Daphnia pulex: one gene and its partners. The protein of the gene in region 1 binds, or shares a complex with, the protein of each later gene. Links are inferred from orthologs where the notes say so. Each region holds a gene or a part of one and is shown in the gene's direction. Other genes may lie near its edges.

Region 1 (3,757 bases):
TTAGTTTTGTCGCAGCTGCTAAGCATTTATGCAAACTTTCATCCTTTTTATAAGGAATAGACCATTGATCTGTAAATACTCTAGACTCTAATTCATACAGGTGGGTTTCAGGGAAGCCATCATTTCCACTCTAAGAGATAAAAATGTAAGTGTTGAAAAATGCTTTACATTGACATAATAGATGAAATAGGCTTTACTTCAGACACGGAAGCATCTTCGCTGGATCCTTTGGAAACACCAGCTACCTCTTTCATGTCAACATCGATGTTTAAGTCAGCAACAGGTCCATAAGATGACACTGACTGATCATTGGTGAGGATAGCAACTGCTTCATTTAGATCATTCTTGGCTAAACGTAAAGCTCGTTTGATTTCTCCGATGTCCGGAAATCCCATGGCCATTAACGTGCTGATATTTTCGTCTTCGACGTCCATGACGTCTTCTCTCCGGCGTTTTAAAATTTTTATTGTTTATCTGAAGAGGAAACAAATACAAAATTAGAACATATCACGATGCACGATGAGTGTATCCCAAGCACTCTGCGCATTTTTTTTTTTGTTTTTTTGTTATCTTACTACGATCACAAGAGGCACGAACTCCTTCGCGGAGCTTTTTGAAATTCTTCTATACACATAGGATAAACTGCATGGAGGAGTGGCAAACAAATGTTAGCGGTAGGCAGGCCCCTTGTCAAATGCGCCCTCCCTATTAAACCGTGGGCGCTGACATCTTTGACATGTTGCCAGCTCATTCATTCCTCTAAACAGTGGTTTCAGACGGATTCGACTTTTAGAAAAAATGCTTAATGATTTTTTACCACATAATTTCAATTGAAAGTATGAAATCTCTTTAACAAATCTTCGTGGCTGCCTGTTTTTATTGTTTCATAGCGGTTAGTAATACCTATTTTAAAACTAGGAACTCGCAGGACTAGCGAAAACATGCGAAAATATTTCAAAAATTGAAATAATTATTCTTTTAACGATCCTTTATAACTCTGATTTCACCAGTAACTATTTTAAAAATTCTACACGAAATACGAAGACCTGAGAAGGCTCAGCGCTTAACGCTGCCACAAAGCTGATAAACAATTTAAACAAGTTATCGAAAAAGTCCAAAAAGTATTTGATGGTTGCTCGCTGCTCGGGGCAGAATATTTATTCAATTATTCCTTTTCCAATAAATTTTAAACAAATTTTCATTAATGAGGAAGTGGTTGATTACAAGAAGATTCTTAATTCTTATTTTTTGTCACGTTTGTCTCTTTGCCTGCCTTTGCGATAAACCCGATAAGGCATAAGGCGACAAGCCGACAACCAATGAAATCGAACAAGCTGCCCAAACGCAGGTGGCGCATTAGTGGTAGAATTGTAAGCAAACGGCAATACCGCAATATGGCAATAGGCATTAAGCCAAGGAAGCAAACGTAAAAAAGCAGTTGTTTCTCAGCGTGTTGCGATTGCAATTTTCTATTCATCCAAACAGTATAACATCTGTTAAGTGATATTTTCAAATTAATTTCCCTTCATCTGTCACAATAATCCTTCAGATGGAAAGTGTCGTCAAAGCTGTTGGTTTACCCGTAAATTTCTTAGAAGAAGTCGACGATGATTTGGAAGATGAACGAGACGAAAAAGCTCCAGCAAAGCCCGATAGCAATATTCGGAAACGACGGTATAGTTCAGAGGAGGAATACAGAAGAGAAAGGTAGACAACTGTACCAAAAGTGTTACAAGTAACAAATTAATTTACTTCATATTCATTTTTTTATCAGGAAAAAAAACTATGAAATAGGCACACGCTATTGGGGAGATGAAGGCCCTAGAGATAACTACACACAACATTCAAGAGAACAAGATCAACATTCAAGAAAAAGAGAAAATCAATTGAAAAAGGATGACAGAAAAACTAGTGAACAAGGTCCTTTAAATGAAGAGGATACTAAAGAGCCTAAGAGAGTTAAAGAAATGGATCCAGTGCTGACACGAACCGGAGGAGCTTACATTCCTCCTGCCAAGTTAAGAATGATGCAAGCCCAAATAACTGACAAGTCAAGCTTAGCTTTTCAGCGTTTATCTTGGGAGGCTCTCAAAAAATCCATTCATGGATTAATCAATAAAGTCAATGTGTCAAATATCCCATTGATTATAACATCCTTGTTCAAAGAAAATATTGTTAGGGGACGTGGTCTTCTAACTAGGTCCATCATTCAGGCACAAGCTGCATCACCAACATTTACACATGTCTATGCAGCCCTTGCTGCATTAATCAATTCCAAAGTATAAACGTGATTTATATTAATTCATGTATTTAATTTAATTCACATCACATTTGTTGATGTTTCAGTTTCCTAACATAGGTGAACTGCTATTATCTCGCCTTATTCTTCAATTTCGCCGTGGGTTTCGTCGAAATGACAAACAAATATGTATGAGTTCGACAAGATTCATAGCACATCTGGTGAACCAACAAGTGGTAATATTGAAATTTTGCTCTCATGTTTTGTTTTTCAAATGCACTGAAAATTTTTCTTGGTATTTTAGGCACATGAGCTTTTGGCTCTAGAAATTTTAACTCTTCTGTTAGAAAATGCAACTGATGATTCAGTTGAAGTCGCGGTTGGATTTTTGAAAGAATGTGGTCAAAAGTTAGGTGAAGTCTCCCCTCGAGGATTAACTGCTGTCTTCGATCGCCTCCGTCATGTTTTACACGAAGCTGACTTAGACAAACGCGTGAAGTACATGATTGAAGTAATGTTTCAAGTACGAAAGGATGGCTTTAAGGACAACCCTGCTATCGTGGAAGATTTGGATTTGGTGGAAGAAGAAGATCAATTCACTCATTTGATGTCGATACAAGAAGAAGAATTGGATCCCCAGGATATGTTGAGTAATAAGTTGCTATTAATGGATTTAAAAAATATCTGTATTCCTCAATCTACCAAGTTAGTTTACTGGGCTTAAATTTTTATTTATTTTTAAAATAATCTTTGACTGTAATGAGCCCCAAGTTCCGTGCTTTTCTTAAACTGTTAATAGTAGATTTTATATGTCTATCTCCACTTTGATACCACTAACTGTTTCGCGTATTTTTGTAGATGTTTTCAAGCACGACCCGGATTATGAAGCCAACGAAGAAAAGTACCAAGCTGTCAAAACAGAAATTATTGGAGATAATTCGGGCGAATCAGACGGTTCTGGAGAAGAAAATGATGAATCTGATGGAGATAGTGCTTCGGAGGAGGAAGCAAAAGGTAAGAATAGCATATACTTTTACTTGGGTCGATTCAATTTGTATGTTTTTAATTTTGTTTTTTTAGAACAAGGCGATATTGTTGACGAGACGGAGACAAACCTTATTGCTCTTCGACGCGTTATTTACCTTACTATTCAGAGCAGTTTAGATCACAATGAATGTGCCCATAAAATGATGAAAATGCAAATGAAACCTGGACAAGAAACTGAGTTATGCCATATGATCTTGGATTGCTGCACCCAACAAAGGACGTATGAAAAATTTTTCGGCCTTTTAGCCCAGGTACGATTTCTTATTAAATAAAAAACTATTCAAGTATATCAATTTTCTTTTCGGTGTATTAGAGATTTTGCCAGATTAATAAGGCATACATACCACCATTCGAGCAAATATTTCATGATACATACGACACAATTCATCGGCTGGATACTAACAAGCTTCGCAATGTAGCCAAAATGTTTGCCCATTTACTTTTCACAGATGCCATCAGTTGGCAAGTGAT
Region 2 (2,883 bases), about 6.8 Mb from region 1:
ACTATTAGTGGTGCCTTAGATCCAATTGGATCACAATTGTTGAGAATCATCCACACTAATTCCTGTGTCCACGTCGTTCCTAAGTAAACAAATTCAAAGTTATCAATTTTATATGTGCGGGAGAATACGAAAAGTTAACACTTTCAAGATCCGAGAGATTTGTATTTGTTTGTTTCAAACTATGTGTTTTAAAATAGGCGGGGAGAAATACAAGGTTGCCATTTGGCTACTAGACTTTCAAGGCTACGGCCAAAAAAATTGATGACAAAGAAATAAATTGTGACGTAATAGCAGTAATTGCTAAACAAATACCACTAGGATATTTATTTTTACGAATTATTATTTTATAAAAATGTAGCTATTACATAAAAAAAATCTTAAAAATGATTGAAAAAGGATTTTACCGCATTTTGGAAAGGTTACTACCCAAACGTCGTCGCTTCTTGGTTGAAAACGTGAAATTTCTTTGGCATGGCGTGCATACTCATCCGTTAAGAGAAAACCACCAGGTTCGCTCTTCATCAGTCCATGCTGCTCGTAGTTTGTGAAGTGTTCTTTCAAGTCTCCATTCACTTCTACAGGATTGAATTTTATGTTCCACTCTGGAACAACTTCGGGAGGAACTGAAGGATTTTCGGGGTTTGTCATCGTGCGAGAGCTCAGACAACAAATGAAAACGCAACGGCAAAAAGGATCGAACAAAGACCGCGACGACTGAATGACACCGTGGCCTCCTTTTTTATACTCAACAGCGACTCAGCGAGTGCCACATCAAATTTTAACGATTTGGTTTTCGTCGTTAAATCAAATGCAAAATTATTAAATCCACGTAAATATGTATTACAATATCAGATATTTGATAATATTTATTTAAATATTTTACAACGACCCAACGAGCAAAAGAAAAATATACTTCTCTAACAACATAATTTTGATTTCGAAAATGTTATGCTGTAATCGATTACAAAAATTCTCAATTTGGCATACATAAGCATTACTCAATTTCTAAAACATTACATAAAAAAATGAGAATATAAATACATTAAAGAGCAGGCAGTGAGGCAGCAGAGAGCAGGTCCGCGGACGGCGGACCGCTAGCGGCTAGCCGTTTACAGGTGGTGGATGAAAGTAAATCTGGCAACGGTTACGAGTTGCGACACCATTTCATGTTGACAAGCCGAGAAACGAGTTGTATCAAACTGAAACTGAAACATTGAATTGATCTCGTTTTTTTGAGAAATACGCCAGAAACATTAAGGTAATTAGAGAGTACTTGTGCATATCTTGTTTTATTTCGTTTGGATCGCCATGGTAAAGCACAACGAAGACGAGAGGAGTCCCAAAAGGTCCCACGAACGAGGCCATGAAAGAGGCAAGACTCACAGACGTCGTGAAGAACGTGACTCTTCCCCACCACGAAAATCTTCACGAAGCGACCATTACCATTCAAGAAGTGATGACTATGAAAGAAGTCGGAAATCAGACAGCAGGAGACATGATTCACAAGTTTCACACAAAGAAAGTAATCGAAGAAATGACCCACCAATTCCAGTTAAAATCAAGAAAGAACCAGTTAGTGATGATGAACAAAGTTTCAGACGTCCACAACACAATGAAGGGCCTTCAAGACGGCATGAGCAACCACATTCAGAAGATCGACCACCAAGACCTTTTAAGCAGAGACGCAAAAGCCCCCGAAGTGAAGATGCTGAAGCAGCCAACTACCAGTATGGCCAACAAGTTAAAGATGAAGAAGAAGAAGGAACACTCGTTGAAAAGCAAAAACCCAACTTTGGTCTATCAGGAAAATTGACTGAAGAGAAGAATGTTTTCAATGGTGTGGTGGTCAAATACAGTGAACCACCTGAAGCCAGAATTCCCAAGCGACGGTGGCGTTTTTACGTCTTTAAAGGGGAAGAGGCATTGCCTACGTTGTACCTTCACCGTCAAAGCGCCTACTTAATCGGAAGAGATCGTAAAGTTGCTGATATTCCAATCGACCATCCCTCTTGCTCGAAACAGCACGCTGCGATCCAATTTCGGTTGGTAAACTACGAACGGCCTGATGGAACTGCAGGACGTACTGTCCGGCCATATATTATTGATCTGGAAGCAGCCAATGGTACTTTTGTAAATAATCAAAAAATTGAATCCAAACGTTACGTCGAATTGTTCGAGAAGGATGTGGTGAAGTTTGGCTTCAGTTCCCGCGAATATGTTCTCCTTCATGAAGAAAGCAAAACAGATGCTAGTTTGGACGATATGGGAGTGGGGCAGTGACACGTTGGTGACCAGCAATGTTTTGTATCATAACAATTTTCTTTTTTGAACGCCGCAATACACTTAATGTTTCTGCGAAAGGTATTCAATCGTCTTTAAGTGTTCTTTCATTTCATTTCCAGGTTTCACACATCAGTGGGGCTGTTCATGTTATTCGTAAGTTGTCACGTTAATTCAAATTTATAACTAAAGCAATTTTTACAACCAGTTGGTAACAGGTAACCAAAATTGCTGGTGTCATGAGACCTGTGGAACGACTGCTGGCCTCCTCAGCAAGACCGCCCAACATTCTAATATGTACGAGTGACAAAGAAGTTTTTCAGCAATATCGAGCCCTCTTTGAATCCACACTAGAGCCGGATTGGTATATAAACAGTATAGACATTTGATATCTGGATTCTTGATCTTAAACAATGTAACATTGATTGACAGTTATGCCCTTTACCATCTCGATGAACTCTCATTTCGTTCTAAAAAAGCTTGGCTAAGCAACACAAGCCTCCTAGTACTTGCTTCTCGATGGTCTGATAATGACTTGCACGATCCGCTGGAAGAGTACATCAAGAAGGGTGGTCAATGTCTTTCCCTACACCCTTTTTCTCC
Region 3 (3,757 bases), on another chromosome or scaffold:
GTGAACGAACCACATGAGAGAGCCCTACGTCGTTGAAGGACACTTTGCTTTTATCAGTTAGTCCTGTGATACGTCCGGCAAACATCAACGTGATGTGGCCATCACTTTCTCTTTCATGTCATAGAAACCAACACGATATCAATGCAGGGCAAGGTAGATTACGTTCATGATTTACCTTTGTTCAAAGCCAGCCAAGGGTCGAATCAATAAATGAAGTTACCTCGTCTGCAAATGATATATCGATAAGCATGTCAGCAGACGGTTAGAGGACAAGGGTTGCTTAATAATCTACTGATAATAAATATACTACTACTAGCTGCAGCACACACACACACAATCTTCAAAGTGGGAAAAGCAACCAAATTGGTTAGTTTCTTGGCCTTGCGGTTGCACTGACCCTGGATCAACAATGCCCTATGGCGAAAAAGGCCGACTCTTTCACTCATCGTCAAAAAAAAGAAAAAATAAAACCGTAAACGTATATGAGAGACAAGGAGAGAAAAAGAAACGGTAATGGCTTCGTGGAAAGAATGTCAACGTGTATACGTAATGGCGTGAGAGTCTGAGAGAGACCTAGTGAAGTTGCTACACGGCCTGTGTGATGAAAGTCTCTTATCGATCCGGCTCACAGGCACATCTCACATCAGGGTTGTTGATAATGAAACTGATTTCTCTTTTAGCTTCTACCAACGTTTGATCGGTTCACCGACACCAAAAAATCTCAAGAGGGGTGAAATGGCCACACGCAACGTTTCTCATCAGATTTTACGAAAATGTGATTGTCGATGAGAATTTTCCCATCGAAAAACGATAATATCAAATAGGCTGGAAAAAACAATCTACAAAAGGTATGTACAAACGTAAAGGGGAGAGAACAAATGCCGTCGGTTTCACTTGATGCTGTAGACCTCTGGGCAGAGAGAAAACCAACCAAGACTGCCTTGAATGAGAAACTGAAAACAAGCCCCGACGAAAAGCCTGTCAACACACACCAAAACAGAATCGGCCAAACTTACCGGCCTCGCGATGAACTGGACGATCTCAATGAAAACAATACGTTCACAAACTAACTAATCACACCACTCCCACCGCTTTAGCAATACTCTCAGAGCACTTCGGTTTAAGAAACCGTTTTGACTGCAACTGCATCTCTCTCAGTGTGCCACCACAAAAAAAAATCATTTAAGATTCATCAGACTGCCATCTGGTGTTGATAGTGTGCACAAGCCTTTATTAAAAATTTAGGGCGCGTCGTGAACGCCATCTGCTGGTTTTCTGTGGTACCTCAATGAATATACGATTTGATCATGGCTTTTAGATTCGGCTTCATTTGGTCGTCGTTTACTCGCTTCACCCGTTTGGTTCTCTAACAAACTTGTTTTGCTATCGTGTTTCTTTCAAGGCAGTTTTAAATTAACGTAAAACTTCATCGTGTTTTACTTGGACGCGTCTATTTTGTCTATTGATTTGAAACACCCTTTTGATTGTGTGATTATTCTTTAGAAACAGAAAGTTATTTAGTTGAATTTGACATGGATCATCACATGCCGCCCGGCTACGGCCAGGAGAATTACATGTATGGAGATCCTTCAAGGTCCTTCCAGGGTAATGCTGTCGGTATGTATGGATCAGGTGCTAGACCGATGTCACCTCCTCCAGGTGATGAAGACATTCCCGCCCATGAACATCTCCCATCAGCACTTGAAGAAGTCCTTGCTTACAAAGAATACCGAGTACGAGAAACGGGCCACTCTGGAGAGGTTGATAACATTAGTGAGTAACACTTTTATAAATTTTCTAGTCTTCATGAAAGGTTTCGCTTGCAGGAATGAACTTTATTCTTTTCTATTTTTTTTTTAGTTAATGAAATCCCTGTCAAAACAGTTATAGAAACTGAAGGAACTATTGAAGAGAGGAAAGATGATTTCGGTGGGGAAGAAAACCTTGAAGAAAAAACTAAAACTCAAAGAAATCAAAAGAAGAAAAAGAAGAAGAAGCGCACTAAGAGACATCAACAGAAAGAAGAAGAAGAAGAAAATGAAAGGAATGATGATGCTGAAGAACCTCCACAAGTGGATATTGAGTATGTCCAGGAAGAAATCATTTATGACGACAAAAATCCTTTCTACCGACAGTTTGCCAAAATCTTCGAAGCATTTAAAATCATTGATGAAAAAACTGCAAAGAAAGCTGAAGAAGATGAAGCCAAAAAGAAAGAACTTCAAAGAAGTTTAGAACTTAAGAAGGTCCCCAAGTTTGCAGAAGAGGAAGATTTGGAGGAGAAAAAGGAAAATGCTGATGATGACAAGCCAAAAGTTTCAAAAAGAAAACTAAAACAACTTACTCGACTAAGTGTGGCCGATTTGAAGCAATGTGTTGCCAGACCAGACGTCGTAGAGATGCACGACGTTACTGCTAGAGACCCCAAACTGTTAGTTCTTTTGAAAGCAACCAGAAATTCGGTCCCAGTTCCTCGACATTGGTGTGCGAAGCGCAAGTACTTACAGGTATATTTTACTATGCACAAAGGGTAAACAATTCGTTTTAAACAAATTTTTTTGTACTTTAGGGAAAACGTGGAATAGAAAAGCCTCCTTTCAATTTGCCCGATTTCATCAAAAAGACCGGAATCATGGAAATGCGAGCTGCTTTGCAGGAAAAGGAAGAGTCAAAAACACTTAAAGCTAAAATGCGTGAGCGTGTTCGACCCAAGATGGGGCGTGTTGATATCGACTATCAAAAGTTGCATGACGCTTTCTTCAAATGGCAAACCAAACCCAAGATGACGATTATGGGTGATTTATACTATGAAGGAAAAGAATTTGAAACTCGAATGAAAGACAAAAAACCCGGAGAGTTGTCTGACGAACTGCGAACTGCTCTCGGAATGCCTGTTGGTCCTAGTTCAAACAAGTAAGAATCTATTCTTAATTTGACACCGTTTTGTGTTACAGTAGTTAATGTTAATGGCGTTTTCTTTAAGAATTCCTCCTCCTTGGTTGATTGCCATGCAAAGATATGGTCCACCACCGTCTTACCCTAACTTGAAGATTCCAGGATTGAACGCTCCAATTCCTGATGGTTCTTCCTTTGGCTACCATGCCGGAGGTTGGGGAAAACCTCCTGTCGATGAATTCGGGCGGCCTCTGTACGGCGATGTTTTTGGATTGACTGGAATCGCAGGCGATGTAAGAAAATATCTCATACTCTGTGTATAACAAATTCTATTAACCACGAATACTTTTGCCTCTTTTTCAGACAATTTTACTCGACGAAGAAGTTGATCGTACCTTGTGGGGTGAACTTGAATCGGAAGAAGAGGAGGAGGAAGTTGAGGAGAGTGAAGAGGAAGAAGGAGAGGACGAAGAAGGCGCCATTGATCAATCAGGTCTGGTTACTCCTGCAGAAGGACTTGCTACTCCTTCGGGATTCTCATCTGTACCTGCTGGTCTGGAAACACCAGATATGATTGAGCTACGAAAGAAAAAGATTGAAGCAGAGATGGAGAGGTATGTAACCAGTGTCAACTACTATACAACTGCTACTTTACATTTTTAATTATTCCTATTTTCACTCTTATTTAGTAACGAAACGCCTCAGCTGTATACCGTCCTTCCAGAAAAGCGAACGGACAGAATCGGTCAAGCGATGATGGGATCTACCCATGTATATGATATCGCTTCAGCTACGACCACTCAGAAGAGTAAGATTTGTCATTTTTTAGTTAATTTGTTGTTATTATGATTTTTCAATTAAA

Evidence for each region.
Region 2: pre-mRNA-splicing factor CWC22 homolog (region 1) and smad nuclear interacting protein 1-like share a complex: the UniProt entries of both Homo sapiens proteins name them as parts of the minor spliceosome. The link is inferred for Daphnia pulex from reciprocal best matches to the Homo sapiens genes CWC22 and SNIP1.
Region 3: pre-mRNA-splicing factor CWC22 homolog (region 1) and splicing factor 3B subunit 2-like share a complex: the UniProt entries of both Homo sapiens proteins name them as parts of the minor spliceosome. The link is inferred for Daphnia pulex from reciprocal best matches to the Homo sapiens genes CWC22 and SF3B2.

What each region holds. Positions count from the first base shown.
Region 1 is NC_060018.1:7,249,359-7,253,115, forward strand, and holds the start of pre-mRNA-splicing factor CWC22 homolog, read left to right. Parts: upstream 1-1,355; 5' UTR 1,356-1,484; exon of another isoform or gene 1,485-1,549; coding exon 1,550-1,707; intron 1,708-1,774; coding exon 1,775-2,279; intron 2,280-2,346; coding exon 2,347-2,475; intron 2,476-2,543; coding exon 2,544-2,889; intron 2,890-3,097; coding exon 3,098-3,537; intron 3,538-3,599; coding exon 3,600-3,757. Other genes in the region: ubiquitin carboxyl-terminal hydrolase 24-like, read right to left, coding at 1-130, 198-434. UniProt on the Homo sapiens protein: Required for pre-mRNA splicing as component of the spliceosome. As a component of the minor spliceosome, involved in the splicing of U12-type introns in pre-mRNAs. Promotes exon-junction complex (EJC) assembly.
Region 2 is NC_060018.1:419,629-422,511, reverse strand, and holds smad nuclear interacting protein 1-like, read left to right. Parts: upstream 1-1,252; 5' UTR 1,253-1,308; coding exon 1,309-2,280; 3' UTR 2,281-2,364; downstream 2,365-2,883. Other genes in the region: sulfotransferase 1B1-like, read right to left, coding at 1-79, 405-648; biotin--protein ligase-like, read left to right, coding at 2,428-2,436, 2,499-2,644, 2,713-2,883. UniProt on the Homo sapiens protein: Required for pre-mRNA splicing as component of the spliceosome. As a component of the minor spliceosome, involved in the splicing of U12-type introns in pre-mRNAs. Down-regulates NF-kappa-B signaling by competing with RELA for CREBBP/EP300 binding.
Region 3 is NC_060020.1:5,125,026-5,128,782, forward strand, and holds the start of splicing factor 3B subunit 2-like, read left to right. Parts: upstream 1-1,292; 5' UTR 1,293-1,532; coding exon 1,533-1,773; intron 1,774-1,860; coding exon 1,861-2,507; intron 2,508-2,569; coding exon 2,570-2,913; intron 2,914-2,983; coding exon 2,984-3,188; intron 3,189-3,258; coding exon 3,259-3,509; intron 3,510-3,584; coding exon 3,585-3,703; intron 3,704-3,757. UniProt on the Homo sapiens protein: Component of the 17S U2 SnRNP complex of the spliceosome, a large ribonucleoprotein complex that removes introns from transcribed pre-mRNAs.